Linked DNA regions of Neurospora crassa OR74A. The protein of the gene in region 6 interacts with the protein of the main gene of each other region in a biochemical or structural test. Links are inferred from orthologs where the notes say so. Each region holds a gene or a part of one and is shown on either strand. Other genes may lie near its edges.

Evidence for each region.
Region 1: the proteins of ubi (region 6) and NCU03357 form a complex in vitro, tested with the Saccharomyces cerevisiae proteins (3 studies listed by BioGRID, with this or other methods). The link is inferred for Neurospora crassa OR74A from reciprocal best matches to the Saccharomyces cerevisiae genes UBI4 and UFD2.
Region 2: the proteins of ubi (region 6) and NCU02680 form a complex in vitro, tested with the Saccharomyces cerevisiae proteins (5 studies listed by BioGRID, with this or other methods). The link is inferred for Neurospora crassa OR74A from reciprocal best matches to the Saccharomyces cerevisiae genes UBI4 and NPL4.
Region 3: the proteins of ubi (region 6) and NCU07319 form a complex in vitro, tested with the Saccharomyces cerevisiae proteins (2 studies listed by BioGRID). The link is inferred for Neurospora crassa OR74A from reciprocal best matches to the Saccharomyces cerevisiae genes UBI4 and SEC27.
Region 4: of the proteins of ubi (region 6) and NCU02375, one has a biochemical effect on the other in vitro, tested with the Saccharomyces cerevisiae proteins (3 studies listed by BioGRID, with this or other methods). The link is inferred for Neurospora crassa OR74A from reciprocal best matches to the Saccharomyces cerevisiae genes UBI4 and UBP8.
Region 5: the proteins of ubi (region 6) and NCU02978 form a complex in vitro, tested with the Saccharomyces cerevisiae proteins (3 studies listed by BioGRID, with this or other methods). The link is inferred for Neurospora crassa OR74A from reciprocal best matches to the Saccharomyces cerevisiae genes UBI4 and SLA1.
Region 7: the proteins of ubi (region 6) and NCU06856 form a complex in vitro, tested with the Saccharomyces cerevisiae proteins (3 studies listed by BioGRID). The link is inferred for Neurospora crassa OR74A from reciprocal best matches to the Saccharomyces cerevisiae genes UBI4 and UFD1.

What each region holds. Positions count from the first base shown.
Region 1 is NC_026502.1:987,965-992,192, forward strand, and holds the start of NCU03357 (ubiquitin conjugation factor E4), read right to left. Parts: upstream 2,801-4,228; coding exon 2,046-2,800; intron 1,984-2,045; coding exon 1,770-1,983; intron 1,711-1,769; coding exon 308-1,710; intron 252-307; coding exon 1-251. UniProt on the Saccharomyces cerevisiae protein: E4 ubiquitin chain-elongation enzyme specifically involved in polyubiquitin chain assembly.
Region 2 is NC_026501.1:3,179,548-3,183,520, forward strand, and holds the start of NCU02680 (nuclear protein localization protein 4), read right to left. Parts: upstream 2,801-3,973; 5' UTR 2,457-2,800; coding exon 2,248-2,456; intron 2,172-2,247; coding exon 695-2,171; intron 640-694; coding exon 528-639; intron 458-527; coding exon 444-457; 3' UTR 386-443; coding exon of another isoform or gene 381-385; 3' UTR 1-380. Other genes in the region: NCU02681 (translocation protein), read left to right, coding at 3,330-3,435, 3,506-3,807, 3,881-3,973. UniProt on the Saccharomyces cerevisiae protein: Substrate-recruiting cofactor of the CDC48-NPL4-UFD1 segregase. Assists CDC48 in the dislocation of misfolded, polyubiquitinated ERAD substrates that are subsequently delivered to the proteasome for degradation.
Region 3 is NC_026504.1:4,379,350-4,383,518, forward strand, and holds the start of NCU07319 (coatomer beta' subunit), read right to left. Parts: upstream 2,801-4,169; 5' UTR 2,464-2,800; coding exon 2,446-2,463; intron 2,184-2,445; coding exon 2,160-2,183; intron 2,064-2,159; coding exon 2,018-2,063; intron 1,951-2,017; coding exon 1,809-1,950; intron 1,750-1,808; coding exon 1,559-1,749; intron 1,501-1,558; coding exon 1,301-1,500; intron 1,242-1,300; coding exon 1,116-1,241; intron 1,058-1,115; coding exon 817-1,057; intron 766-816; coding exon 1-765. Other genes in the region: NCU07318 (mannitol-1-phosphate 5-dehydrogenase), read right to left, coding at 3,720-4,169. UniProt on the Saccharomyces cerevisiae protein: The coatomer is a cytosolic protein complex that binds to dilysine motifs and reversibly associates with Golgi non-clathrin-coated vesicles, which further mediate biosynthetic protein transport from the ER, via the Golgi up to the trans Golgi network.
Region 4 is NC_026507.1:2,712,481-2,716,495, reverse strand, and holds the start of NCU02375 (ubiquitin carboxyl-terminal hydrolase 2), read right to left. Parts: upstream 2,801-4,015; 5' UTR 2,660-2,800; intron 2,569-2,659; 5' UTR 2,235-2,568; coding exon 2,159-2,234; intron 2,103-2,158; coding exon 1,866-2,102; intron 1,800-1,865; coding exon 1,686-1,799; intron 1,579-1,685; coding exon 770-1,578; intron 676-769; coding exon 445-675; intron 358-444; coding exon 256-357; 3' UTR 1-255. Other genes in the region: NCU02376 (metallo-beta-lactamase domain-containing protein), read left to right, coding at 3,802-4,015. UniProt on the Saccharomyces cerevisiae protein: Histone deubiquitinating enzyme component of the transcription coactivator SAGA complex. SAGA acts as a general cofactor required for essentially all RNA polymerase II transcription.
Region 5 is NC_026501.1:8,519,939-8,524,180, forward strand, and holds the start of NCU02978 (cytoskeleton assembly control protein SLA1p), read left to right. Parts: upstream 1-1,442; coding exon 1,443-1,640; intron 1,641-1,781; coding exon 1,782-3,225; intron 3,226-3,287; coding exon 3,288-4,242. UniProt on the Saccharomyces cerevisiae protein: Component of the PAN1 actin cytoskeleton-regulatory complex required for the internalization of endosomes during actin-coupled endocytosis. The complex links the site of endocytosis to the cell membrane-associated actin cytoskeleton.
Region 6 is NC_026506.1:3,143,712-3,147,843, reverse strand, and holds ubi (ubiquitin), read right to left. Parts: upstream 2,801-4,132; 5' UTR 2,526-2,800; intron 2,458-2,525; 5' UTR 1,801-2,457; coding exon 1,779-1,800; intron 1,709-1,778; coding exon 813-1,708; 3' UTR 261-812; downstream 1-260. UniProt on the Saccharomyces cerevisiae protein: Ubiquitin exists either covalently attached to another protein, or free (unanchored).
Region 7 is NC_026502.1:1,742,314-1,745,707, forward strand, and holds NCU06856 (ubiquitin fusion degradation protein), read right to left. Parts: upstream 2,240-3,394; 5' UTR 2,022-2,239; coding exon 2,019-2,021; intron 1,930-2,018; coding exon 784-1,929; 3' UTR 501-783; downstream 1-500. Other genes in the region: NCU06855 (hypothetical protein), read left to right, coding at 2,785-3,394. UniProt on the Saccharomyces cerevisiae protein: Functions at a post-ubiquitation step in the ubiquitin fusion degradation (UFD) pathway. Has a role in the endoplasmic reticulum-associated degradation (ERAD) pathway.

The DNA.
Region 1 (4,228 bases), on a different chromosome or scaffold from region 6:
CCAGGGTTTGGGTGAAGAGCTTCATCATGCCGACTGTCTCGTTCGCAAGCTGCATATAGGAACTGGCCTTGTTTTCCGCGTCGTGTAAATCGCTCTCCATCTTTTCGCGATCCTCTTGCGAAAGACTGGGGTCCTTTAGCTTTTGCTGGAAGTCATGGATCTTGGGGAAGTTGCTCAATGCTTCATCCAGAACGTATGTTGCATCGTTCATGAGAAGATTGACAAAACGAACGAAGAAGTCGCGGTCCACCCTAGGTCGAGTTAGTCGGATTCAGCAAAGAGATCGTAGGACAAAACATATACTGACCTGCTGGACTCTGTCAACTGCTTCTTGTAATGGTCATTGGTCCAGACGCACTTGATAACCTGGAAGATCTCAAAACGTATGTTGAACTTTTCGTAGAACGCGGAACTGGTACCATTCGACTCGCACTCAATATAGTACTTCATCACAGCATGTAGCAGGTAGTCATTCGCGAACTTGGTGCCGGTAAGGATGTCGCCAAGAATGCCCTTTTTAAGATGGTATGCCGGCCAGGTGCCCTGATAAAGGAGGGTAACCAGCGACGATTTCAAGTACGGGTTCTTGATGTACTCGGAGGATTCCAGAAACGTTATGCATAGAGCAACGACCTCGTCACCAATGGCCGAGACCATGACCTCTGGCCTATGGCGGAAGGTGAACTTCAAGTTATCAACAATTACCTGCAGAACATACTCGGGAAGACACCTGAAAGCTTCTGGCTGAGTTTCAGGCAGCGGAAGGCTGATTTTCTTCCATGGGACGTAGTCGGACTGACTGGCTACTCGCAGTAGCCACACAATCGTGTACTTCATGAACTGTAGTGACCGCGTTTGCAGCGTCTTGTCGGTCATAATGCCTTCGATGGCAAATTTGGCCGACATGGCGCTCTCCAGCATCTTGATCAGTCTCCTCTGCGCCGCCTCTAGCATAGGTACTCGTTCCGGATGATTGGCGACAATGTTGGGACGGTCAGCCTCCATAAGGGTCAAGTTCTTTTGGAAATGCTTAATTTGCTTGTCAAGTTCCTTTAGCTTGTTTTGGGTGGCTTCGGTGCCATACTGATGTGCCGCCAAAGCGAGGAAGAAGACCTCTGTTATAAAGTTGTTCTCCCCTTCGAGTTTTGTAGAGTAAAACGCGTCCGAGTGCTCTTGGTCAGCGTTGAGCTTGGTCTCTTCCTTGATGTCCAATCTGGGCTTCCGCCTGAAGTAGTCGACCTGAATACGGTCAATCTTGGTAAAGGAGTTATCCATGAAAGGCTTGCATAGATTGTCGAGGACGACAGTGACATTGACCATGAAGCCGTCCGACGAAACGGTCTTGGGGTCGACATAAGTGGCTGTGCGCTTATGGTTGACATTCATGATGTAGGCGAACCAGTCCAGGAGCTTGTTTCTCGAGCTAGTGCTTGCTCGTATGAAGGCATTAGCTATCGTCGTCAAGTGTTCCTGATGGGCAGCCAACGTCATTTGTAACGATTGTTGGGTTGTGCCAATTCGGCCCTTGTCAAGAGTCCTTGGTGCGGCAAAGTCGTAACTGGCCGCCTCTGGGTGTAAGGGCGACAGGCGGAAGAATGGCCCGAGCAGCGTGAACCGTTCAATGTTGGGGGCTGATTGCGCCATAAGGAAAGTAGGGTGTTCCGCCAAAGCGTTCACGAGAGCCGGATATCTCGAGTATGTGAAGAGGGCCTGTGAGGTTCCAACGTCAACGCTCAGCACAATTCGTTCAAGTCGCTTGTCAAACTCACCTGGACGTGCGGCTGATAATCGCCGTTCATGTTTTTGGTAGACAGCGCTGTGCTGATTTCCACCATGGCCTTGGTGAAGAGAGGTACAATGCTATCGTCGTCCTCGATCCGTGTCATGGCCTCGTTGTAAAACTCGATGTCGAGGCCTTCTTCCTTCGCAACACCTTCCAAAATGTAGGGGACTATGGTATCGTGCTTTGGGTTTGGTTCTCGACTTTTCAAATTTGGATCATGTCAGCTAGAGCAAACTGTAAAGAGGACACGGGGGATAAATACCCAAACATCTCGGGCATAGTAACGGCGAAGATGCAGTTCGAGAAGCACAAGCGCTTGGCCTCCTTGAGGGCTTCTTCCTTCTCAGGAGTCGACGCCCTCAATATCCTATATCTGGTGACCCGCTTCCAGCATGCCAGGAAGTATTCGAATAGGGGCTTGTGCGGCGGATAGATCCTTCCGGCCTCCATAACGGCCTCTTGAAATCGGTCGATCGACAGCAAGGGCTCCTGATACTCGCCCCGAATTTCCTGGCTGAGTTCTGGCAGAAAGGTCAAGTTATGGCCACTGCTATCGAAGGTCTGGTTCGGATCGAGAGACACGCGAAGGATGCTGGTGAGTAGCTTGTCGGTCCATTCCTCGAGCGTCTGTTCCCTGTATTGCTTTCGCGGTGCTGGTGGGCATGGAATATCATCAATATTTGAAAGGGATCTTTCTCTCTTTCGGGAAGCGGAACTACCTGGTGGTGGCTCTGGCACATCTCGTGACGCCGGCTTGATTATCGACCTTGGCTGAACTCGCGGTGCCTTGTCTTCGATCTTTGACGAACTCGCCGCCGCCGCCGCCGCCGCCACAGCAGCAGCAGCGGGAGGGGTTTCGGTGCCAGGCTGAGGCGTGGAAGAGGACGCAGCTGGCGATGTAGTAGAAGCGACATTGGGGCCACCGAGCTTAGCCAGTCGTCGGGCACGGATCTGCTCCATCGTCTCTTTATCAGGCGCATCCGGCGTGGCCGCCGGCTGTTGCTGATTCGGATCCATCTTGTCGTCGTCGTTGGGCGAAGAGGAAAGGGATTAAGGATGTACGGATATTGTGATTATCGTGACGGAGAGAGCCTAAGGAGAAGAAGGGCTCAAGCTGGCGGTGACGACGTAAAGCTGGATGTGCGTTGGGAGGTTGAGGCGAAGGATGAGGAGAAGGAGGATGGAGGTGACTGTCCGAAGCTGGAGGTTGTCTTCGGCTGCGGGTGCTCAAGGTTGGTACTTCGCTCTTGAGCTAACCACAGTAGTATGTGATAGTGCGGGTGCCAAAGTTAGGTAGTAATAAGGAATGACTCTAGCATACTCTAGCGGAAAGCCCTCGGATAGTGATCAGGAGGAAGTAGCAATTCCCATGCACCTTTTGCGCTGACAAGATTACGTTGACATCTGTGAATGTGACGTGGAGCCTGCCTGCCCCGAACAAGCCTACTGCATGGAGCTCCTGGAGTTCACAGGTTGGCGGGGTATTTCGGGACGTTACTTACATTTAGTGCTTTTGGCGGGACATGATTTACTGCACTGTAGGCAATACTGGTTCGATTGTTAGCTCCCGCGGGTCTTTGGATCAACTTCCCGTCCCTATAGCTACCTCTTAGACTATGCGTTTTCAGACTGGGAATATGCTTCCATTTCTCCAAAATGAAAGAGAACGAATTGGATCTTGTTCATGCCTTTCATTCAGTCCTTGTACGGTTTGGGACAATTCGGAAGACGGGAGATCTCGTCCAGTGTACCAGGAGTACCTCTAGGTACCAAGCTAACAAACAAACCAGCACCATTGTACTACATATGTAGTCTACCATAAGGGGTACTTCTATGTAGAGGTAACCTCGCAACCTAATGAAGCAGAAACGGGCTGAATGACAAGAAGATGATAACTAATTCTTCGTTGGCGTTTTTCATGGAAGGACCCTAGAATCACTAGTATAACGCTGGATGTGACAGTGACTTTCCTTCGCCGTAAATGCGGAATGCAGCTGTCATTGTTCAACTCATCTACATGAATAGGTAAGAAGATTACGGGGAGCCAACAAAGTCAAAGCATTCTAGATACTTTGAAAGCCGTCTTGTCCAAAACACCATGGGAAACAGACCTAGACCATGTAGCCGTTCTTTCAGTTGCTATTAGCTCTTTCAAGCGTGCCAAATTCCAACACAGAGGTTTGATTCGTCTCCTATATTCTTTGGTCTATAGGCTATCTAAGCTTTAGACCAAGGCCCGACGTTGCAATAAGACAACCTCCAAGTGCTTTCCCGATCCATCCCAAACGCCAACATACAAAACCTATGCATACCCGTTCTTCTCCTTCAGACCATTATGGTATGTTTCCAAAACCAACAGACACTGTTACTTCCGTTCGGGACGGCTCAGACACTGAGGCACAGCAGCAGAAATATATGACCCCAGTGTCTGCCCCAGGAAGGCGA
Region 2 (3,973 bases), on a different chromosome or scaffold from region 6:
ACAGAAACTATGTTCATGAGCCACAATGCGACATGAGCAGTATCTTCAGCACTGTTAGACTAGGATATCTTTTCCATTACTCAACCCCTTTCGTCTTATTTGATGCCCAGTTCATGTCTATTTTCCATCAAAGCAGCAAAAGTCAACGCCAATGCGTCCATTGTATGTTCTCAATGTGTTTCGCCGAGGTCGGTCCAGAATGAAAGTTTCGCCGCAGATGAAGCTCCAAACCCTGTGTTGCCTTTTGTTGAAGGACCTGATCCCTCAGCTCCGTGCCTTGTGATCAGAGTTGATGGTGACATTATTAAGCCATGCGTATCCTCAGTCCACGTCCATCGAATCCTATTCGGGAGGTGGAGGCGGTGGCGGGCGTTGTTCGTTCAGCCTGACAGCAGCAAAACGCTTAGCAAGTGGTTCATCCGTCGAGTTGTGATTCCTTTGCATCAATGGGTGGTGGCTGAGGTAGGATCTGTCAACCGAGGGAAAACTAGCATCCTCAGTTCTGGGGCGCTTGGGAAGTCTCTCACCAGTGGATTCCAAGATCATGTGCAGGGTCCTCCACCCCTCTGTCGCCCGGAGTTGGAAGGCGTCGGCAAGGTCATGTTGTGTTGCTACGCGGCAAAGGAGTGCCTCCTCATCCTACGAGAAAGAGTCAGTATTCTGTCGGACCCAAGTGGAAATACGGTGAGCTGACCTTGGACAGCACGCTCATCTGCCGGATAAAGCAGAGCAAGTGGAAGTTGCTAACGTCGAATTGGTCGGACTTTTGGTTCACCTTAAGAATCTTTGCTACTGATGAGGCTTCCTGGGCTTCTCCGACAAATTCGCGATTGGCGATAGGGAAGCCGTCATTCGTGAATACCGGCCGGGGACTTTCAGGGAAACCATGGGTCAAGGTGACGAAGAGATACTCGACGGGAAATGCGGGCTTTGCATTCTCTTGGACATTTGCTCCGTACTCGTTGATCTTGCGATAGAACACCTCGGGGATGTATCGCGTCCTGCTGACTGAGCCATCGTCCTCCTCCTCTTCGCGCACCAACATTTGACCGGGGTCCGTGGAAGGTTCGATGATGTCTGCCCTGACCATCTCGACCGCATCGTTCGACATCTGATAGGCCGAGATCGAAATCTCGCCCTGCTCATTGCCAGAGATGACGCAAGTGACAAAGTTGGAGCCGAACCGGCCTGTATCGCTCCACTTGGTAGGCTTTGGGTGCTGTGCCTGGAGCCTCGCCGCAAAGCAGATCTCCTGAGCCGCGAGGAAGTAGGAATCGCTGTGTCTCTTGCAGATGGCACTTCCGTCACCCTTGCCAGCGTCCAGGAGATCCGTCCAGATCACACCCACAGGCTCCAGTCCGCATAGTCTTGCTACTTCGTTGACATCCTTCTCGTTTTCCCACGCGTTGAGAGTAACACCGTCGATCTCGTCAACCTGCGGTGGTTCGTAGATGGCTTCCACGACAGCCTTGACGCCAAGCGGAACAACATCGTATTCGAGATATTTGCCGTAGAGGATACCAAGCCGTTGACATCCCGTCATACGCCAGGGATTGAGGAACTTGTCGATGATCTGGGGCGTCGCGAACTCGACGTGGTCCACCATTCTGAATGGCTGGGGCTGGAGAGTGATGGCGCTGGGCTGGCATTTTGTGCAGATACCTTCGGGCCATTGAGGATGGCCGGATGGACAGTCCCGCTTGACTCTGTAATAGGGTTCGACAAGCGGGGGGATAAACGAAGCCCCAAGCTCGGGCTTGTTTGTCGCAGAGTTGATTTTGCGGAGGTATGCGTGTACTGACATGTACTTGATTTTCTTTTCCTCGAGATACTTTGCGTTAAACGGATCAAGGGGCATGCAGTAATCGCACATACCCTTGGGCCCGTGGCGACACATCTTATGATCGCGCCCCCTTGGGATCTTTCCGTCACGCTTGTCTAGCCGATCGTCCAGAGGCGACTGCCTCACCGTTTCCCACGGGTTCTTGATATGTTCATGCGGAGATGTCAGCGGAGGCGGGTCGATGGGCAAGTCTTCTGCAGGTAGGATCGGTTTGCCGTTGAGGCGGTTCGTGGATGAAAGCACGCTGGATTTGGTGGCTTCGCCGTTGCCTGGGCCGTCGGTCGCCGCATCGTTGTGCTTGTAGGTGACAAAAATAAGATCGCCATGGCTATTTTCAGGTCGCTAGTTAGTGTCTGGCACATAAATCGCAAGATCAGCGCGAGAGTTCCAAGGGGTCAGCTTGCCTGAGCCCAGTCTGGCCGACCTTGAACTTTGCGACCTCGCTGAGATTCTTGGCGTCGCTGCCGGTCGGATGGTTCGAGAATGTAATTGTTTTCGGGTCAACAGTCGGGGGAAGCTTGGGAATGAGTTGACGGCCAAGATCCGCAAAGGTGTCATCTTTCTCCAATGTCAGGCGGAGCATGCCATCGGGACCGCGTACCCTCAACAACATCGTGGGCGGGCTGAAAAAAAGGTGACGTCTGGGCTGTTAAAGGGTCCGACGGATCTGGTCTGTTCCTGTCGTTCGGCGAGTATAATCCGGAATCTGAATTTAAAATGTGTCGTAGGCGTCGGAAGTAGGGCGGTATCTATGAATAAAGCTTCTTGTTGCGCAAAATCTACAAGGTCACGCCAGGTCCTCGGACTCGGGGTAAAGGCACAACTGGTGACGGGATACGGGTGGTGAATTGTTGGTCGGCAGACGGGACCTGATCGAAGGGCGGGGAGCTCCACGCAACGCTGTACGATAGTTTCAGGCGTTCGTCATACGTGTGCCTGGGCGGCGGGAGTGCTGGGGCGTGCTGGGAAGTGCTGAGCAATCGAGGCATGCCTGCTGGGTTTCCAGAAGAGCCAAGAAACTCCCGGTCCCACGTCAGAGAGAGAGCCCAATGCCGGCCCGGCAATGCCCCGCACCCCTCAAAGACTTGGGAGTGACAGAAAGGGGCTGTCGCGGCAGGCATCGATTTCCACTTGCGGCATGGGCCCCTGCCACTCAGATGAAGCCAGCGCGCGCCAAGGGCCGAAATTCCATTGTCAAGCTCCCCCTGCCGCGCTGCACCGTTGCAGTTGTCAAGGTGTTCTTTCCAGGCATGGGCACTGCATTTGATAACCAAGGGAAGCACGATTACATTGCCGTCGGTGTCCATCACTCACACAACCGCAAAAGGCAAACGCATCCATCACCGGGCAACCTTCAGTTGCACGACGACAATCCTCACGCCACCTACCGCCTCTTGGTTCACTCTAGTCGCTCGCTTTCTTCCAGAGTAGAGAATACAGACATCATTTCTCGTCCGTCAATTTGACACACACTCCATCCCGAAACATGTTCAGCGTCGACTGGCGGGGGCTTGTGCTCCCCTTCGCCTATCTGATTGTCCTGACGGGCACCTTCATGACCTTTTCCACAATCTACCGCAAGAGGAAAGCCCGTATGCAACCCCCTACTCAGAAATTTCTATGCTTCTCTGGATAGAAGCCTAACCATGTTGATTCTTCCAGAGCAAAGCGCAAACCTCGCACCATGGTTCGGTCCTCACCTCCAACGCAACGTCTACCTGTCACTCCTCCACATGGAGCCCGAGAACGGATCCGAAAAGGCACCTAAAGTTCCTGAAAGTGTGCTCCGGGCGGCTCTGCTGCGCCGCGCTGTCGAAGACATCCACCGTATTATCCAGATCCGCGCCGCCAAGGCCGCCTGCAGCTCTCTTTTGCAGCGTGGAAGCATCGGCGATGATCTGTGGCAAAGGTTCCAGCGTGCCGAGAAGGAAATGGAGGAAGAGCTTCGTGATGTTGTTATGGAGGTGTGTGTTCCTTTGAAGAGGGTTACCCGTGCGGATGATTGGATGCCAGAAATGCTAATGCCCGATTCTTCAGGCCAACGCACTCGCTCCCAACTGGGGACAGAGCATCTTCCAAACCGCCAACGAGATTGCTGCCAACACTGTGCTGCGCGAGCGCCTTGACGAG
Region 3 (4,169 bases), on a different chromosome or scaffold from region 6:
TAACATTAAGGTCCTTATCGGTGATGTAGACGCGGCCATCACGCTGGAGGTAACCCAAGATGTACATGGGCTTGTCGAAGTGGGCGATGGTGTAAGTCTGGTCGCCAACCAAGTAGTTTAGACGGTTGGTGCTGTTGGTGTAGATCAGGACATCTCCCAACCACTCCGCCGAACGGATACTCTCGCTGATGTCGGTAACGACATCAAACGCAGCCTCAACACCATCATCCTCGACAAGACCAGCCTGGACCGCTTCGTTATAGTTCTCTCTCGAGAACCTGAGGACGTAGGTGCTATCTTCGCAGGCAAGAGCAACCAGCTCGCCGCTCTCGCTCCAGTACACCTGCTTTGGCTCCACCTCAATGCGTCTGACAAGTCCACCCGTCCGCCAGTCGTAGAAGGAAATGCCACCTTGGCCCTTGACACCGAGGAGGACACCGCCGGTAAGACCGTCGGCAGCAAATGGGACGTCGAGACCGCCGACCTTGTTCTCGAAGTTCTTGAAGATCTTGACGCTGGTGGGAGACTCACGAATGGCGAACTCGTTTGTGCTGGAATACTCCTTGGAAGCCCACACAAAGTCGAGGGCTTGACCGAATGCCTTGTTTCTCCAGGCGAGCGCAGTGTAAACGATGTATTCGCCGTCGCCGCAAATAGCAGCGAACCGACCATTGGGAGAGTGGATGAGACTTTGGGGGTACACCTCGGCGGTTCCAAGCTCCTTGGTGGTGAGTGTGATAGGTTCGTTGTCCTTGATATCGGCATCTGATCCCTGTTAGCTCGGAGTCACTCTCGATGTTCCGTTTTGTAACTCACCAGCACCCTTGATCACGGCAGATACAACCTCATTGTGCCTGGCCCACACGATCTTGCCGGAGCCATCCATCGACACAGCGGGCTCTTCCCGACCAAGCTTGATGACCACCGAACCATCATCGAAACCAACAGCAATACCCTGCTTGCCCTTCTGATATGACACACACCATGCTCGCTCCAGGCCGTAGTTTAGCGATTGCTCGAACCTGTAGGTGTTGGCGTTCCATATCCTTATCGTGCCCTGCGGTTACGGTTAGTAATAGCCTGCGAGCGAGTGGACAGGTGCAATATCGACGTACGTCTTCCGAACCAGAGATAATAATAGGGAGCTCTGGGTGGTAGCAGGCAAAGGATACGTTGTTGGTGTGGCCTTCAAGAGTGGCGATCAAACTCTTGGTGGTATAGTCCCACACTTTCACCGTGCGCTGTGCCAGTAAAGTCAGCTGTGAAGTCCTATGCGCCAGCAGATGTCAATATAACTCACGTCATCAGAAGTTGTGAGAAGATAGGGTTTGTCGCTGTGGGGATAGTAATCGACGTGGTTGACGCCCTTGGTCTCGTGCGCCTCAAGCTGGAAGTTTGGTGTGGATGAACCCAAGCTCCAGATCTTGACTGTCCTGTCCAAACATGCCGAAGCAAAGGTGTTGGTATCTTTGGGGTTGATGGCGAGGGACATGACGTAGTCTGAAGCTCTGTTAGCACGCGCGCTCTGCTTCGATGTATCAGGCTGGTGGCGCCATACGTGAGTTGCCCTCGAATACCCGCACGTTCTTCCATCCCTTCTCCCAATCCCAAAGCTTGATCGTCATGTCATCACTGGCGGTAAGGACGAAGGGTTGTGTAGGATGGACGCAAATGGCTCTGATGTAGTCGGGATGCGCCTCGAAGGATGTGATCTTTTCGCTCGTGTTGTAGTTGTAGACTCGAATTTGGCTGGGATTCCAGGTCAGCCTTCCTGTCTAGCTCTAGCCCAAGTTCCATGTCGAACATACAAGTCATCGGAACCACAGATGATCCAGTTCTTTCGCGCAATGAAGCGACCAGCGCGGACGGGGACATCGGTAAGCTCGAAGGTCTTGACGATTTGTTGTGTCTCGTATGACCAGATATAGACGTGGCCGCTGTAGAGGGTCGCTAATCACCAAAGTAGTGTCAGAATTCAGGGCCCCTCCCATCGTATCGCGAGTCGAATCAGACGTACTCAGAATCCATGGCTCGGTAGGATGGAAGTCGATGCCCTTGACTCGCTATGTGCGGGATATGGGTGAGCAATGGGAACCTTGAATGTTGAAAGACTGCTTGGTACCGGAGAAATCAGGGGGTCAAGAGGACAGGTAACGAACCTCAGAGCGGGCAAACAACTGGCGCTGCATGTTGACAGGCATGTTAGCAGGTGTTTTCTAATGAGAGATGGCCCAGTTGGAGGCAGCGATGTGATGATGGACGTGTCGGCGCAATGGAGCTGGCCGTCGAGGTGCCGGTACAGCAGACGGAATAGGGGCAACTGGAAGATCCCAGGCCGAAGCTAAGGGAGGTGCAAGTGTGCGCCAGGTTGCAGAATCGGGTTGTTCTGTTGGGTCTCGGTGACACGGCCATGGTGGTGCAGACACGAAGCCTGTGCGAACTTGCCTTGACATCCAGCCTCATGTTGGGCGAGTTTGGGGTGGGTGTGTGGTGTGTGGTGTGTGGTGTTTACAAGTTGGAATTAGAGGACGGGGCGGTCGTAACGGTTCTCGAGCTTCCAAGCTTCAGGTGGGGTGCGTGCTGGATGCTGGAGATGGTCCCTGACCGTGCAAGAAAGCCGCCGTCGGGTTCGTCAGGGGTGAAGCTATCGGAAGTGGTGCAATCGTGGTTATATGTATTTGGTGTATTGGATATCTGGTCCGCCGAAGGGGGGGGGACGTGGTTGGCGGTACGAGGATTCGGAATAGAGGCTTCGGAGGCCTTGACACTTGATTGCGACGGGCCGGAAATGACAGCGGACGGTTGTAGAGGTGCCCGCCACGTATCTCGACCGGCCGCCGCCCACAATTTCGCGGCTGTGGTCTGCTCGCCGCTCGGGCCACTCTCTCCCTCAGGCGGTCAAGTGGGCACAGCTGCCGGCCACTGTCACTTCCTGCGCTCGCCAGCTGCTGCCTAAGGCAACGACCAACACTACAGCTTTGCGGATCTCTTGGCGCCCCCCTCACCGTCGGTGCATTCAGTGTTTGAAGCCATCACCATCGCCAAACCACGTCCAAAGTCGACCACTGGAGATCGTCAAAAACCAAAAGGCTTGGACCAACGCAACGGTCACTTTGTGAACGACTCAATTCCCAATCACATTTTGGAGGAGTGTCACACACGAGCAAATTTGCAAGATACGAGTATTTCAAAACCAAAAGGTCTCAGCGACGCAACAGGAGGCGCGACCGATGACGGTCAGTCGTCAAGTCGGTACTCCCATCCATTTTCATCGTTACTTAAAAACATTATCAGCAATCACCAAATATGGGCTCAAAGAAAAAGCTCGAAGCAGTGATCAAGTTCGACGCACTTTGCATACGACAACGTTACTGGAACATGGAGAAGAATTGAGTGTGAGTACTTCTTATTGACTTGAACTATATCTATCATTGCAAAGCGCTTCTAGTGATTGCGCAGAGACAATAATGAAGAAGAAAAAAGGGAAACCCAAAACCTCCAGGATGTCAATATGATCCCGGCTAAACGCCATTGATCCCAGTTGTATAATGCTCCGCGTTGATATCCCAGAAAGCAACCAAATGAACGCCATATTCTCCGGATTCCGAGGGTCCACGACACCGTTGCCCTATTCCCTATCCGTAAAGTCTTCGCTCATTTATCATAAGACATGAAGTAAGAATGGATACAAAACACACAAGTTGACAGAAATGCTCCATCTAGTCGTCGTGCAAGTCGGCCTGTACGCGCTGTACAACCTCGACCACCTTGGGGAACAGCTTCTCCTGCTCGTTCAAGCCGCAGACCTGCTTGACAACGTCCTCGGGCTTGTTGCTCGCCATGATCTTAGCAAGTTCGGCCGACTCCTCGTCGCCCTCGACGTTCTGGAAGCGGAACGCCATCTCAGCAGCATCGAGCAGAGCGCTGCAGTCCTTACCGTGTTCGGCAAGCTCGGCTGCGGGGCCGATGAACCGCTCCTTGCGGGACAGCTTCCGTAGGGGAGCACGGCCCACGCGCTCGACGGCATCCTCCAGGTGAGGGTTGCTGATGCGCCTGACAATCTTTTCAACGTACTCGTGCTGGGCCTGTTCGTCGATGCCGTGCTTTTGCGTAATGAGGTGGGATGTGTTCTCGAGCGCCTTCTTGACCTCTTCCTGGATGTCCTTATC
Region 4 (4,015 bases), on a different chromosome or scaffold from region 6:
TCCATTCTCTAAAAATCCAGGCCCATGCTTTGGCCTGAGTTATGTCTATGTGAATCCTCTCCATGTACGCTCCATGAACAAAGGCAAATCCAAAATACGCCGGCAAAATATGCTTCCTTGAACGCCGCAAAAAGATCAAGTAGTGTACAAAACGTAAATGAGCCATCTGGCACGTGTTTACTGGAAACAACATCATACACAGGAAAAAAATATTTGCTGCTTACTTGCCCCTACTCGTACACCGTTTATCCGAGCTCAAGACAGGGACCGAACAATGTAAAAGAGAAGATAGGCCTTTGCGTTTAGCACATCAGACTTCTGGGCCAGTTCAACTTTGTGATCGTTAAATGCGAACCACTTAAATAAATGTGCCAAAGGCAGCGGGTCAGCAAGTCTAACCCTTCAGGAACTAGATGTGTGTCATGGTTCACTAGTCAGACTCACCTGGTCGCCAACCCGGCAATAAGAAATGTAGTGTCCGGTATCCATGTCGCCAACGTGCACAACAACGCATAGAAGATCGTAAGTGCAGGACCGCTGTAGCTCGTAGTTATCTTTGAGATCCTGTGTTCGTGCGCGTGTCGTATAAGGCAGCATGTTGAGTTGTAAAGGAAACTGGACAGGTGTCTCGATCTTCTGGGCACGATCATTACGCCCTTGTTTGAACTCGAACCTCTGTTGGCAACTGTCAGCTTCTGTTGTCTCCAAGCGAAGCCAGCGGTAACGGCCAGTAAGGAATGTGCATGAGGAAGGATTCCGGTAATCTGACCTTGAGCTGGATAGAAAGAACGTTGGGTAATTTCTTGATACTGGTCTGTCTTCTTGCTTGCTGTACTGAATTGCAGTTCTGACACCGATACTCGCACTTATCGGATTTGATGTATTCTTCGTCCAAGCATTCCTGGAGAGTCACGCTGTTTTGCGTTCTTGTCGATGCGACCCCGTCGCCATTCGTCAAGTTCTTCTTGCCCCTTTTTTGCGTCAAATTTTCCAAGGGAACACTGAGATCCAAAAAGCTCTGGGCTTGATTGGTGACGCCCCCACAGTTTTGGCACGTTGTGGACGTCTGTAACTTTCCGTAGTATGTTTGGTGGATGATGCAGTTGCAGGTATGCTCACTGCCAATTTCCGGTCTCTTGCCGTCGCCATTTCTCTCGTGTAATTCCTCAGCCATGAACTGGAAAAACTCATGAGCATCTTGCTCCTTGTTGGCTACCAAGTTCTCAAACGCCTTGTTCTCGCTGATCCAGAATCCGGACAAGATATTTGCGGCGGTATAACCGTTCGTCGTTTCGCTGGCATAAAATTCCTGGAACATATCGTCCATGGCACAACTGAGGCAATGGGGTGTGTCGCAACTGCCTGACTGATGCCCATCACTCAGGTAGAAGTTGCGTAGTATGGGATTGTGGAGGAATGATTGGAGGACAACGTTTTGATAGCAAGTTGCTCCGGCATTATAGATACCACGGAGACCGTTAGCCTTGCAGGTGGCGAGGGTGGTGTTGGTCGATATATACTGGGGAGCGTCTTTTACGGGATCAGGGGCGAAGAGTTCCTCATGTTTACGCTTTCGGCCTGTGATAGAAATACAGATTAGTAACAGCCAAGGCTCATCGACATAGGAGAAGGTACCGGGCATAAGCCCCCATGGGTAAGACGGAGAAAAGGACAGAAAAACATACTACCGAAAAACGACCCTGTGCCGAGCTTCTTTAACCTCAAATCCTCAAAGGTAGGGTCCCACACAATATCATCACACATTTGGCAATACACCGCTCCGCTCCTCGACTCAACATCTGATTACAACTGTCAGTTTCCTTGCCCCATGATTTGGCTCCTTCTGGCAGAGGCAGCGAACGTACAGAAGCGATGTGATTTTTTGTTGCCGTGTTTTGTAAGGTCATCGTCGGTGAGAGTCGAGGGGCATTGCAGACAGAGGTAGGTTGGGGTAATGGATGTTACAACCTGGCCATCTACGCCCTTGGCCGTGTGTGACAGGATAGGGTTGATGTCGAAGATGGCTCGCAGAATGGTCTTGTAATGTTGTATGGACATGTTGATCGTCGCTTGATCTTGGTTAAAGAGACGGCCGACATGCTCTAGAAGAGGTTAGAAAATAAGGCCGTGTAGCAGGGACAAGAATGGGCCATCTTACCACATCCATACATTGGCTGGCCGGGCTGGGGCTCCTTGACCTTGTGGTCCTTGGAGGACGCAGCGTTGGCCGACATGGTGATGTGATTGTTCGCTCGTCGAAAGCCCCAAATGTGAAGCCCGTGTGTGCTAGTAGTTCTGAAGGGGAGGAGCTGTGTTCGAATCCGCAGTGGTTGGAGCGGTCCGTGACCGGGTTAGCAACGAGGACGAGTGTTGCTTCAGACGCTGGGGATGATGTTCCTGGACTTTCGGCTCGTAAGAATCGAAACAATGGGTGAATCTAGCTGCAGAATTGGCTTTATTGAGCCTGGCTTTTCACCAGTTGAGATGGCTTGTAAGGGTCGTGGCGAGGCCGGCAAATCGCGTTCCGCTCGGGAAAGAGCACAGTTCCCGGCGGTTCGGTCCAAGTACCTGGAATAAGAGGACTTGTTAGCAGCGATGCACGTCAATTAACGGTCGCGCTTTTTCTATTGGCAACATTTGCTGGTGATTTCCGTCTTACCGTCTATCAAAGCAACGTGTACAAAGCCGGTAAAGTAGCAACAGGGATCTTCTCTGGTTGTGTTGGTTCTCCCGAAGCAAGATGGGTTTGAAGTTGTTCGGGGTTGGAATCTCCATCCGATTTCCGCGGCGTCAACATGGGCAATCAATCAATGGACGCCAACTGCACTTGCATGGACGGCAGCGACATGAACGGCTTATCGAACGCTACCTACGCAAGGCTTATCGATAACGAGAAAGGGGACAGAACCAAAGGGTGGAACCTTTTCAACGCATATAAGTACCTAGGTATGTAACTCTTCGTTGTGTCTGATTGGCCCGTAGCACTCATACAGAGCGTGCAGCGAGGTACCTGAGACGGAGTCTGAGGATCTCTGTACATCTCAACCGAGGTGTCTGCCAGGCCTGCATTTCACTTCACAATCAATTCTCCCAACGACAAGGCAACCTCCAGCGCGAGCCATCGTCATTTGAGAAGCTAGACTTCAGAAAATCAGAACTTTCTGGAGGCTGATTCGGCTCTCTTCCGTGCTTCATGGTCCAAAGGGTTGGCAGCACATCTAGAGGTATCCTCTATCGTCTGTATCGATTCATTGTGACCGATGATGTAGCTGTGTGTCAAATGCCCCTGTCATGACAAAATCCACGCAGACAACAAGCCGTTGATACAGTCTCTAAACTCATCAGTTATAGCTAAGTATGTCAAGAAATTGAAGCGATTCGGACAAGCACGCAAACACCATCAAAAAGGTTGCGTTCCTGGGAGATGTGGTATCAACAGAAAAGGGATTCTTTAGGCCACCACTTGCAACACGTTCTCACAACGGACTTGAACTTGGCGAGCCCGGCCAGCAAACCATCCACCCCGAGTCCGGCTCATATGGCCGATTCGCCAGGTGATCTTCGGAGCTTGCGTGGGTGGTAGCCGGACATTGATTATGTGCGATGGTATCATTGCCGACGCCTCGGCTCGGCAGTACCCCGCAGTCTGTTAACTAGCTCTCTCTCTCTCTATACGCGGTACTCCCACCTCACCAGGACGCAATATCCCACCGTGTTTCACACCAAGTAAGGTTCTCATTCGGAATTGTCACTACTTCCTGTGTGTCGTTCATTTTTTGCCCGTACTACTCCTGGTCCTGGATGTCCTCACCTGTCATCCCGCTCCTGGGACTCTCAACCAGGCCATCATTGTATCGAACTTCATCATCATTTAATACTCGGCTATCTCGCCTTTCCAAGATCCCATATCAACATCTGAAAACAGATCACAAGCATAACCGCAGTATCACCATGTCTTCATCTGCAGTCCAACCGCGAATTACTCCTCTCCCCGAAGTCACCCGCCTCAGCCCAA
Region 5 (4,242 bases), on a different chromosome or scaffold from region 6:
ACATCGACACCCGCTGAACGGCTCCCATGCCCAGCGGACCCCGACCTGAAATGAACGATCCACCAAGCGCCCAAATGTCAAGAGGGAAAACCCGGGATATGACGCTATCTACACGTGCGGTTACAGTAGATCGCTGATGAATGCCCGGGTTTGCCGGTCGGGACCAGCTGGCTGCTGTTTCTTGATTGATTGATGGGAAAGTTGGGCGTGAAGAAGAGCCCAAGTTGACTGTCACAATTAAGCCACAATTACGGCCAATCAATAGATACTGTGTAACAAAGTGAAAGTTGCGCTTTCGAGGTACTTATTCAGGTGCTATGCCGTACCAGCAGCGCTCGAGATGCGGCTGGGCTGTGCTTGCTCCTGCACGATCTCACTCTTTCGGGTTCAATTTGGACAAGAATCCTTCGTTCCTGCGCCAGTACCTTGCTTCGATGTTGTTGGTCGGTCATTGGGGTTGACCTGAACCCTCGAAATGCGCTGCGGTTATTCCAAATAAAAGCTAGGTACATACACCTCCAGCGCTGGGAGGTTACGTACCTGTTCTTGGGGTTTCAAATTGTAAGGTACGAACAAGGTGTTCATTTGTCCTCGGGTCAATAGTGCACTTCCTACCTACGCTTGATTTGATCTCGAATGGATTTTCCGTGGACATTGCAATTACATAAATATACATTTTGGTGATAGCATCCATGAAGATCGCGGTGTCTTCGCGACCGCTTCGTTGCATCGTCTAAATTCCCCCAAATTCAGCGAACCCCCCCACCCCCCCGAACACACACCCCCCGGACCGGCTCCTTTAAACGAGCACTTGGGTCCACGACTTGGACATAGAGTAATTTCCAACGTCTCCCTTGGCTCGACCATTTCGACCGCAACTCCAGACTCTTGATCACGATAAAGGTCAAATTCCTCGCAGGGTCACCGCAGCCGCGCGTGCTCGCTGTCGTCGACATCTTCCCGACGTTCCCTCGCTCGAAATTACAGGCTACCTATCCGTAGGTACCATACAGGAGGGCCTTGGCCGGCCGCAATCCTACGCGCAAGCGGGCATACCTACAGTGCTTGCTTCAGCGGCTACCCCTTGCTTCAGGAGCACCCGTACACTCTAGAAGAGCTTCCATCCTCGTTCACCTTCTGCCCGGCAGCCGCAGCGCCGCACCCCCGTCACCCGTCACCAACCCAGCGTCACCCGCTCTCACACGCTGCTGCCGCCGCCGCCGCCGCCGCTCGCTCCTTGATTCCATTTCCTACCGGACACACACACACCCCCCCTTCCCCGGCAGAACCAAGACTTGTGATACCACACCACCAGCCACCATTCGCACCACGGCGCCTTTCGTTTTCCCCAATTCCTTTCTTCGCAACAGCAACTCCCTTGCGTCGGTTCATGTCGGCTGCCATCCAAAGGGCATCATACGAGCAGATTTCCCGCAGCAGCCATGGGCTTCCTCGGCGTCTATAGGGCCATTTACGATTACACGCCCCAGGGCGAGGGCGAGTTGACAATCTCCGAGGGCGACATTCTCTATGTGTTGGAAAAGAGTCAGGAGGACGATTGGTGGAAGGCGAAGAAGAAGGCCAATGCTGCCGACGATGACGAGCCCGTCGGCTTGATCCCCAACAACTACATTGAGGAGGTATGTAATGTGGTCCGAGGTCTAGATCTGGATTGCGTGCAGTGTCATCTGGGCACTTGTACCTGCTTGGAGGATAGCAAGCTGGCTGGCCTTGGCATTCAGATGGATCACTTGAACTGACCGCGCACACCATGACGCCAGGCGAAACCCGTATCATACGCTCGCGCGCTCTACGAGTACACGCGTCAGACCGACGAAGAGCTCTCCTTCCCCGAGGATGCGCAGCTCTCAGTCTTCGACACTTCCGACCCCGATTGGATCCTTGTTGGCCACGATGGCGACTACGGCTTCGCGCCCGCCAACTACATCGAGTTGGGCGATGGCCAGGCTGGCCAGGTCGAGGAGGAGGAAGAAGCGACTGCCCCCCCTCCTCCTCTTCCGCAGAGGACACCCAGCGTCAGCGTCGATGTAGCCAGCCCGCCCCTGCCCGCCAGGAGTGTGCCCTCCGAGCCAAGCACCCCTGTCGCCGCTTCCAACCCTGCTGCCGCCGCCATCGCCGGAGTTATGGCCAACCGCTCTTCTTTCCAACCTCCAGCGCCTATCAGTGTTCCCCAGCCCCAGCGACAGTCATACGCTTCGGAAGATTACGAAAATGAGGTAAGGTCCCCGCCGCTTCCGAGCCGCCCGCGGGGCGATTCGCAAATTGCTCCGGAGCAAAAATCCTACAGACCGGTGCCGCCGCCCGCTCAGTCAGCAGCCCACGACACCGACGACTATGGCATTAGCCCGCGAACCTCCCAGGCTCCTCCTCCTCAGACCGCCGCGCTTACCCCTGGCGGTTTCCACATGTACAACATCAACGAGATGACGTCGGTGATGGGCAAGAAGAAGAAGATGCCTACCACGCTGGGCATCAACCTGAGGACGGGAATGATTCTCATAGCGCCGGAACATTCCCACGACGGTCCATCGCAGGAATGGCGGGCCGATTGCATGACACACTACTCTCGGGAGGGCAAGCACGTGTTTATGGAGCTCGTACGACCAAGCAAGAGCGTTGACTTTCATGCGGGCGCCAAGGACACCGCTGAAGAGATCGTCGCGATGCTGGGCGACATGGCCGGAACTGTGCGCCTCGAGGGACTCAAGGAGATCATTGCCGCGGGAGCCGGAGGCAAGAAGAAGAAGGGTGCTGTGCTGTATGATTTTATGGCTCAGGGTGAGGACGAGGTTACTGTCGGCGTTGGTGATGAGGTAGTTATTCTCGACGATACCAAGAGTGACGAGTGGTGGATGGTGCGTCGCGTCAAGAACGGCAAGGAGGGTGTGGTTCCCAGCAGCTACATTGAGATCAACGGCGTGTGGGAAGAGCCGGAGACGGCCGTTACCGGTATTGCCGTGGGCATGTCGGAAGTCGAGAAGAACCGCCTGGAAGAGGCGCGCTTAACCAAGGAGGCTATCAAGGCTGCCCAGCGCGAGGAAGAGAAGGAGAAGCAGAAGAGGAACTCTGAGGTAGGCCCAGGATTGCAATTGCAAGAACGAAATAGTAGTTTGCCGGCCACAGATGATAACAGGAGAGGAAAACAGCGAAGCAGTAGGCGCGAACCCGGTCAGAACAGCAGCTCCAAGTCGTCAAGCAAGTCGAGTAAGTACACCCATGTCCAGATTTTCTTTCAGAGTATGCAGAATACTGACAGTTTGTCGCAGAGCCCGATCCTTCCAAAGTGCGAACATGGACCGATCGATCCAAGTCCTTCAGCGTTGAGGCCCAGTTCCTCGGTGTCAAGGATGGCAAGATCAGGCTCCACAAGATGAACGGTGTGCAGATCGCCGTGCCCGTCTCGAAGATGTCAGTTGAGGATCTCGAGTACGTGGAGCGCGTAACTGGCGAATCTCTCGACGAAGACAAGCCCCTATCCGATCTTAGGAACAAGCGATCCGCCGGTGAGTCTTCGAGGTCTAGTCGATCGACGCGCGACAGGGAAAGAGACCGTGGTTCCAGCTCCCGGGTTGGCGCCACCATCGATTCCTCGAAGAAGCCCGACTACGACTGGTTTAACTTCTTCCTTGGTTGTGACATACAGGTTGGTTTGTGCGAACGGTATTCTCAAGCTTTCCTGCGGGAGGCTATCGACGAAAGTGTCTTGCCAGATGTTGATGCTACTGTGCTGAGGAACTTGGGCTTGCGTGAAGGTGATATTATCAAGGTCATGCGGTACCTGGACAACAAGTACATGCGGAACAAGAAAGGCGAAGAGGGCGAGGGAGGACTCTTCTCTGGGCCAGGAGGTGCGCTCCGCAACAACACGAAGAAGGGCAGGCCGGCGCCCCCCGTCGAGGTCAGCAACACCGTTGATCCCAACGCTTTCTCTAAGGACTCGGGTGCTGGTAGTGGCAAGTCATCATCTCCTACGGCTGCGGCTACGCCAACACCGTCTGCCTCGAAGCCTTCCAGTGGCTTTGATGATGATGCTTGGGATGTCAAGCCTACCAAGACGAAAACCCCTGAGCCGGCTGCGCAAGCCGTTGCTCCCGCTCCTGCGGCGGCACCCGCTGCCGCTCCAGCCCCTGCTGCGCCAGCTCTGGTTGACGCGCCGGCCCCCCCTCCGCCGGCGGCTCTTACCAAGTCGATGCAGGAGTTGTCGTTGCTTACCCAGCCTTT
Region 6 (4,132 bases):
CCTTGTTGTGATGGTCGAGAAACAACAATGCTTTGATGAAAAATCTGATGAAAGTGTAATATTGAGAGTATTGCGTTGACTGTAAGAGTGGAAGAGCAAGAGAAGGACAGAGAAGGATCAAGAAGATGAAGAGTCGATTAAGACACCTTGGACGCGGGCCTTACGTCAATCAAGTCGCCGATGCCTATCTCTGCAGGTTCATGTGTGCCCAAACTCCATGCAGTGATGGTTCTTGCCCTGGTGATTAGAGAGGATGAGAGGTCCTTCCGGATGTCCTCTTCACATTCAACCTTCCACAACTACGAACTTGACGTTGGACGTTGGACGTTGGATCGTCCTTCACAGGGGGGGAGGGAGGGCTCCACGGCCGGACTAGCGCGAACTGAACTCGGCGGTCGGTACGTATCTTTCACGTATGATGCATCTTGTCCACCAAAAAAGGGCGCCACTTTCGGCCACGCAACGGTCACCTCGCACGGTGTGTACCAACCCACTGCACCACCATCTTGACTTACACGTCCGACTCCATCCCCAATTGACCAGATGACAGGTTGACGGGAATAACAAAAGCTCACGAATTGAGACACAAGCAAATCACCAAGAGACATCATGTTTGAGACCGTAAATATAGTCTTTATTATGGCATCGCTGTATGTATGAAGCGTGTGCCATTAGATTCGGCTAGATATGCCCTGTTTCATGGTTGTCATCATTTCCCAACCCATGGATGCAATAAGTAACCCAATAAACGCTGAACGCCCAAATGAACCCTTGCTCGTCATCAAGAATCAGAAACAAAGACGACAATCCGCTTACTGGCCGCCACGGAGGCGCAGCACCAAGTGAAGAGTGCTCTCCTTCTGAATGTTGTAATCAGAGAGGGTCCGGCCATCCTCCAACTGCTTACCAGCAAAGATCAGACGCTGCTGGTCAGGCGGGATACCCTCCTTGTCCTGGATCTTTTGCTTCACGTTATCAATCGTATCCGAAGACTCGACTTCCAGCGTAATCGTCTTGCCCGTCAAGGTCTTGACGAAAATCTGCATACCACCACGAAGACGGAGCACCAAGTGCAGGGTGCTCTCCTTCTGAATGTTGTAGTCGGAGAGGGTGCGACCATCCTCGAGCTGCTTTCCAGCGAAAATGAGACGCTGCTGATCAGGTGGGATACCCTCCTTGTCCTGGATCTTTTGCTTTACGTTGTCGATGGTGTCGGAAGACTCAACCTCGAGAGTAATCGTCTTGCCGGTAAGCGTCTTAACGAAAATCTGCATACCACCGCGTAGACGAAGAACGAGATGAAGGGTAGACTCCTTCTGAATGTTGTAGTCGCTCAAAGTGCGGCCGTCTTCAAGCTGCTTGCCGGCGAAAATGAGACGCTGCTGATCGGGAGGAATGCCCTCCTTGTCTTGGATCTTTTGCTTGACGTTGTCGATAGTGTCGGACGATTCCACCTCAAGGGTGATGGTCTTGCCGGTAAGAGTCTTGACGAAGATTTGCATACCACCGCGCAGGCGGAGGACAAGGTGGAGGGTAGACTCCTTCTGGATGTTGTAGTCGGAAAGGGTGCGGCCATCCTCCAACTGCTTGCCGGCAAAAATCAAGCGCTGCTGGTCGGGGGGAATGCCCTCCTTGTCCTGAATCTTTTGCTTGACATTGTCAATGGTATCCGACGACTCGACCTCGAGGGTGATGGTCTTGCCGGTCACTGCGAAGAGATAGTTAGCATCGGTCGATCGATGGTAAAGTGATGATGCGGTGAGCGTGCGATAACTTACAAGTCTTGACGAAAATCTGCATGATGGGGGTTGTGCAGTGGACGAATGGACTGTTGATGGATGAAGCGAAATGACTAGAATCGAGTGGCGGGAATGATATGTGCGTGGATGAACACTCCTGCGATGATGGCGATGGAGAGAGATGGTGAAAGCGGAAGAAATGGAATCGGGGATGCAGATGGGCGGGGAGGATTAAATAAGTAGGTTCAGGTGCTGGCTGCGGCGGAAGTGGCAGGAATCAGGATGGCGAACTTGGAGGGGCCAGGCTTCCACTGCCTGGAAAGGGAAGCGAAGCGGGGGGGCTGAGTGAAGGGGAAGAGGTGACGGGACTGGAGTGGAAGCGGAAAGGTGCCAGGTCCCAAGTCGATCGTCACTGGTCCGTTTGCAACGCCTGCCACGGTGTGAGTGGTGTGTCACTCACCTTCACTGACAGGCCACGCACAAGCCACTTGGCGGTTGGGAGTGACAGAGAAGTGGAGGGAAGGCGCGAGAAGAAGCCAGTCAGACGACAGTTTCCCCCTTGACTGTTGGCTGTTGCCCGTTGGCAGGAGTGGTTGGACATCCCCCCCAACAGTGACCGCGGCTGATTGATCGCACTGTCAACGCCTTCTGCAGTGGCGGGCACTCACCCAGCCGTTTGCCCGTCAATGCGTCAGTCACCTCAGCCGGGCTGTTTGCCCTGCTTCAGTTAGGTTCTCTCTGGATGAATAAGCCAAAGAATGATCTGCATGTGGCTGGACGACGGACCTTCGAGTTTCAGTTGTTTACAAATCCGAGAGTGCCATCTCGACTTCTCGTTACTTTGCCAGCATCTTGACAAGCTTCTCTCCATGTTATTATAATTGTTCCCTCTATCAGGTTGTTGATGGCCTCTTGCTCGATGCTTCACACAGCAGCAGTCCAGCTGGCATCATGGAATACCGACGTGCACCTTGCTGGTTCCCCGCATTTGATAAGCGAACCCCCCAACGAAGTGAGCGGTCAATGACGTGGTCCGATCGAGGGCACCGAGAGGCAAACAGGGAAGAGTGAACGGTTGGATCGCAATTTTCCAGCAATGGAGGAAATGACCAGAAGACATGAAGATGAGTATATAAAATCAAAGAGACCTGTGACTTTGTCTTTAACCAACACCACAAAGAGTGTCACCAAAGGGGTCGAGGTGTTGGTCGTCGAACGAAAGAACAACCGGACGGGAGGTGCATCCCGGCCAGGCATCGTTTCAGCTCCAGACAGTAAAGGGGCGAGTCAGCTGGCACTGTAAACCACAGAATGCTCAGCTGGTGTCACGGACTCACGGTTGGTTCTTCCACCGACCTTTGCAAAGGCTGCTGAGGTAAGCGCTCCGTCTGGTGCGACGATGAGCTTCGTTAGTTCTCCGTGTTCATGGCGGGACACCGACAACTGAACCGGACGGGAACGGGGAGCTATTACCAGGTATTCTCTTTCGCTTTTCTATCGGCTTTCCGACCGACCGTGGCTGTTGACGCCGGTAAGGATTCAAGACCGGTGACAGATGGGAGACCTCCTGACTGCAGTGCCTGGCCATAAGGGTTCCCACCAGCCCCCGACCGATGATGTCGTGACTCCGTTCCTCCCGTTATCGCCCAGCATTATCGTGGCCTCTTTCTTGGCTCCACCGCCCCGCACTTTAGGAGGGTCGCTCCGCTATTGACGGTCTCTAGCCTCCGTTCACGCATGATCCATAGTATCGCGAGTTACCATCATCGATCAGAATGCTGGGTCCTTTACGCACGAGTGTAATATGTACAGTAGAGGGAGGTAAGCTGTGCAGCACAACATCACAAACTCCTGGAGCCAAGTGACGAGTTCCGCCCTGCCCGCTACTAGGCCTGCCAACCACCTCGGGTGAGACCGGGGCCGGCATCACCTCCTGCACGGGATCCCGGGGACTCCCGCGCAGTCACGCCTACAACTCCCGTCTTCGCAAATGCGGGAATCGTCCTTACGGTCCGTTCAATACACCCATTCGGCTCGGGTTGTGACATCCCATGATCAAATGACAACCCTGAACGTCATCAGATTGGTGTACATGATACTTTTTATTGTCAATGCGTGTAGTGAACCAAGTTCAATGCAGGTGCCTGGTTGCCGTTCGCAATCCTTCTCACTCATTGATCTTGAGTACTTATGTACTCGTCTGGCCTAGGCTCTATCGTAAGAGTTGGAATGCATTTTTCCACTCATCCAGAACCAACGAGCCAACGGCTTTCTTTGCGTGGTAATGACTTGCGTCTTTGAAATGAAACAAGTACACACAACCCAAGGCAACTCTACAAGACTCGAGAACTCGTTTGCTCTGTGGCCCTTCCCATAGTCGGTTCCATGACAAC
Region 7 (3,394 bases), on a different chromosome or scaffold from region 6:
ATCAGAACTCAATGTCATGCTGTTGATGTTGTCGACTATATTCGTTCCAAGCATCGTTGACATATGACTAATCTTTAAGGATGCAAAATTCTGGAAGGAGAGACCTCGAAGTGGATGCAGGCAGAACTCCGGACCTTCCTGGCATGACACTGACAAAGCGACTGCTCAAGATAAAGACAAGACGGACCAAGCCGCTCTCGATGCACCGTCCACAATGAGGAAAAAAAAGAAAAAAAACCAGGGACTCTTTGTATCATGTCCATCTTGCACCAAAGTCAAATTCCGGCATTTCAAGGGATCAAAAAGAGAACAAAAAGAAAAAAAAAATTTAAAATTTTTTTTTTTTTTTTTAAATAAATTGGTGACGCCGCAGCATACTATGCTGGCAAAAGAAAAGATAACTCGATCCACCCAGGGGTCGAACCTGGAACCTCCTGATTCGTAGTCAGACGCTCTGCCATTGAGCCAGCGGACCTTGTTGAACATCACCTTGGCATGTTCCAGCTATAGGAGGACATCGAGGTATCATTTCCTTTTTCACTAATTCTAGTCAGCTGCATGGGCCTATGTAAACATCGTGCGGTTCAGCACTCAACATCCCATATACAGCCCTTTTCTATCTTGAAACGCATCGTGGCCTGTCCATGTGTATTCGTAATGACGCTACAAACGTTCCGTGATCCCTTGACTGTGAACCTCCCTTTCCCATGACCCTGTTTCCCATTAACGCCCGACAATGCATCAAACCATCTAGTAACAAGCTTGTTGAACGAAAGTTTGTCCCTAGACATTCCTGCCGTCAAGTCGCCTTCCCTTGCTCTCTGTCGGCTTCTTCTCGCCTTGCGCCGCCTTGTCGTCACCATCGCTGCTCTTCTTCTTCGGGACTCCTCCCCGGAGCGTCTGTCCCTGGCCCGCAAAGTGCGGCTGCTTCGCCGCCGCCGCCTCCCTCTCCTTATCTGCGGCAGTTTTGACAGGCTTGATCTCGTAGCCCAAGAAGAGCTTGTTGGGCGGCAGACGCAACGGCAACGGGCCGTTGTTGTTTTTCCTCCTGGGCAGCACCACGTCCTTAACGTTGGTCGACGTACCCGCCACCGGCGTCGCCGGCTTCGGTGTTCCCGTCTTGCTACCCTTCTTCGCCGCCAACCGCAGACCCTCACCTTGAAAGTTGCCCACCGACGTGGTGGTGGCTCCTGGTGCGATGGCATCGTAGTTGATAGCCTGCGCCATGGTTCCCTGGTTGTGCAAAAGACCACCCGCCGGAAGTCCTCCGCCAACAGCCCTTCCGTTGCGTGGTGTGCTGGTACCACTGCCTTGTGTCTGTCGCGAAGGCTCGACGTAGCCAACTGGCGGCGCAAAATCGACGCTGACGTCTGTCTCGATCATGCAGACACCCATCTTGGCCGTCTCCGGCTTGACGTCCAGTACCGCCATTTCGTAGATCTCATCGTTGTACTCAAAGTTGAAAACGTCGCCCTTGGTCAGCGCCGCAAAGTTCCGGAAGGCCTTTTCGAGGACGGCACGAGGGTCGCTGATGTCGAGGAAGTTGACCGATTGCGGTTGGAGCTTGACAAGCCTGGCAAGCTCGAGAGATGTCGTCTTGATCTGAATCATGTCGCCCACGTCGAGCTTGAGGGTCTGCATCATCCACTGCGGGATGTAGGCCCTGCCCTCCTCAGCCACGAACTCCAGAACACCGGCGTGTGTGTGGGTGCCCTGCGAGCCGTTGATAAGCTCTAGCATGATGGGCCATTGGACGTGTAGTCGCGAAACCTTGTCGAGAGCGGAGGGCGGGAGCAGAATCTTGGAGCCGTAGTTGAGTTCAGGTCGTTCGGCACCGGGCGCCATGACAAGGGGGTAGCAGCGGTAGTACTCATCGAAGCGTTGCGCGCCCCGAGAGCGACCAGTGGCGCGACTGTAGATGTCTCCATACTGTCATGGGCACATGTTAGAATGTTTCAAGAGATAGAGGGGTCGAAAAGCTGTCTTGATAATCGAGCGTGAGGACAAGGATAGCTTACCATGATCGCGAGGGAGCTGCTAGAGATGGAGTAAAGTATTTTGCAGAAAGGGAAACGACAGGGAATTTGTATTAAGAGGGGAGATCTCGAGGTAAGCTTCGCAGAATAGGTAGTGGGATCCGGAACAGCAGAGCGTGACAAGCGATAGTGAAAGGGAGGTTGCGACGATGTTGAAATAACCTGACCGCGTGGAAGGTTCCAAAGGCAACAACGCAGATGACATAACTGGGCCCGAAAGTTACAGGCACGTTAGGTAATAATTGGAGCCCTGGCATGGGTACCGTACAGTACCTACCTCTATGTATCTGCCGCCTCGGCGGCCCGGATTGGCGGGGTGAGAAGGTGCCGCCGTGGCGTCAGATCTGTGAAACCGTGCTGCCGTGGCGCGAGCTCCCCCCCTTCTTAAACGCTTAGGTCAAAGGTACCTTGAGCGCTGCCTGTCCACTGCAGAACGCTCTGGACCTTGATGGCAGTGGAGAGCTCCATGTTATCCGTTGGGGCTGACAACGGGTAAGGTACCTCTAGTGATGTTCTTCCTTGATATTCCCAATTCGCCATCTAGATCCTCTCTTAAACACCATCCTCTACTTGTAGAGTTGTCATTCGCCGTCGACCCAGGCAAAACAGTCATCATTTCAGGCCATATCTACACAAAGTCTGCGATACAGGGGCAGAATAGGCCATTCTATCAAGACGACATAACCTTTACACGCTGACGTCAACGCCTACACACCAACACACGAGATTGAAGACAACAGCCACCACCATGTCCTCCCGCTTCTCCGCCGCGCGCCCCAAACGCGCCAGCGAAGCTTACGCCCGCGCCCACCACGGCGAATCGCGCTCCAACGACGACGACGACACCTCCAGCGGGCCGTCCCACAAAAAAGTCAAGTTCGACGTGCGCAACCCCTCCGCGCTCGCGCCCTCAGCGCACGATGACGACCTCGACGAAGCTGACGAGGAGGTTCTTGCCGCCGACGTGATCGGTGGGCTTTCCCGAGCCACCAAGCGCGGCGCGGTCAACATCGATGGGTACGATTCCGATTCCGACAATGACAACCTGGAAGACCGCGCGGAAGCCCGAGGGAAGAGCCGCAAGAAGGGCAAAGACGCCGAGGACGTGGATCTGGCCGAGATGATGGATAATTACAACAAGCCTTCCAACGGGGCAGGGAAAGATGCCGATGAAGATGACGAGGTAGACATGTTTGGCGATTTGGAAGACGACGACGGTGCTCAACCAACGACAGCCGGTGGTGGCTCTGCGAAGGACAAAAAATCCGTCCACTTCCTCGCCGACTCGGAAATCGAAGGGCAAGACCTCTCTTCCAAAGCTGGCGGAACCATCAACATCAACCCCGCCGCCTCAGCCG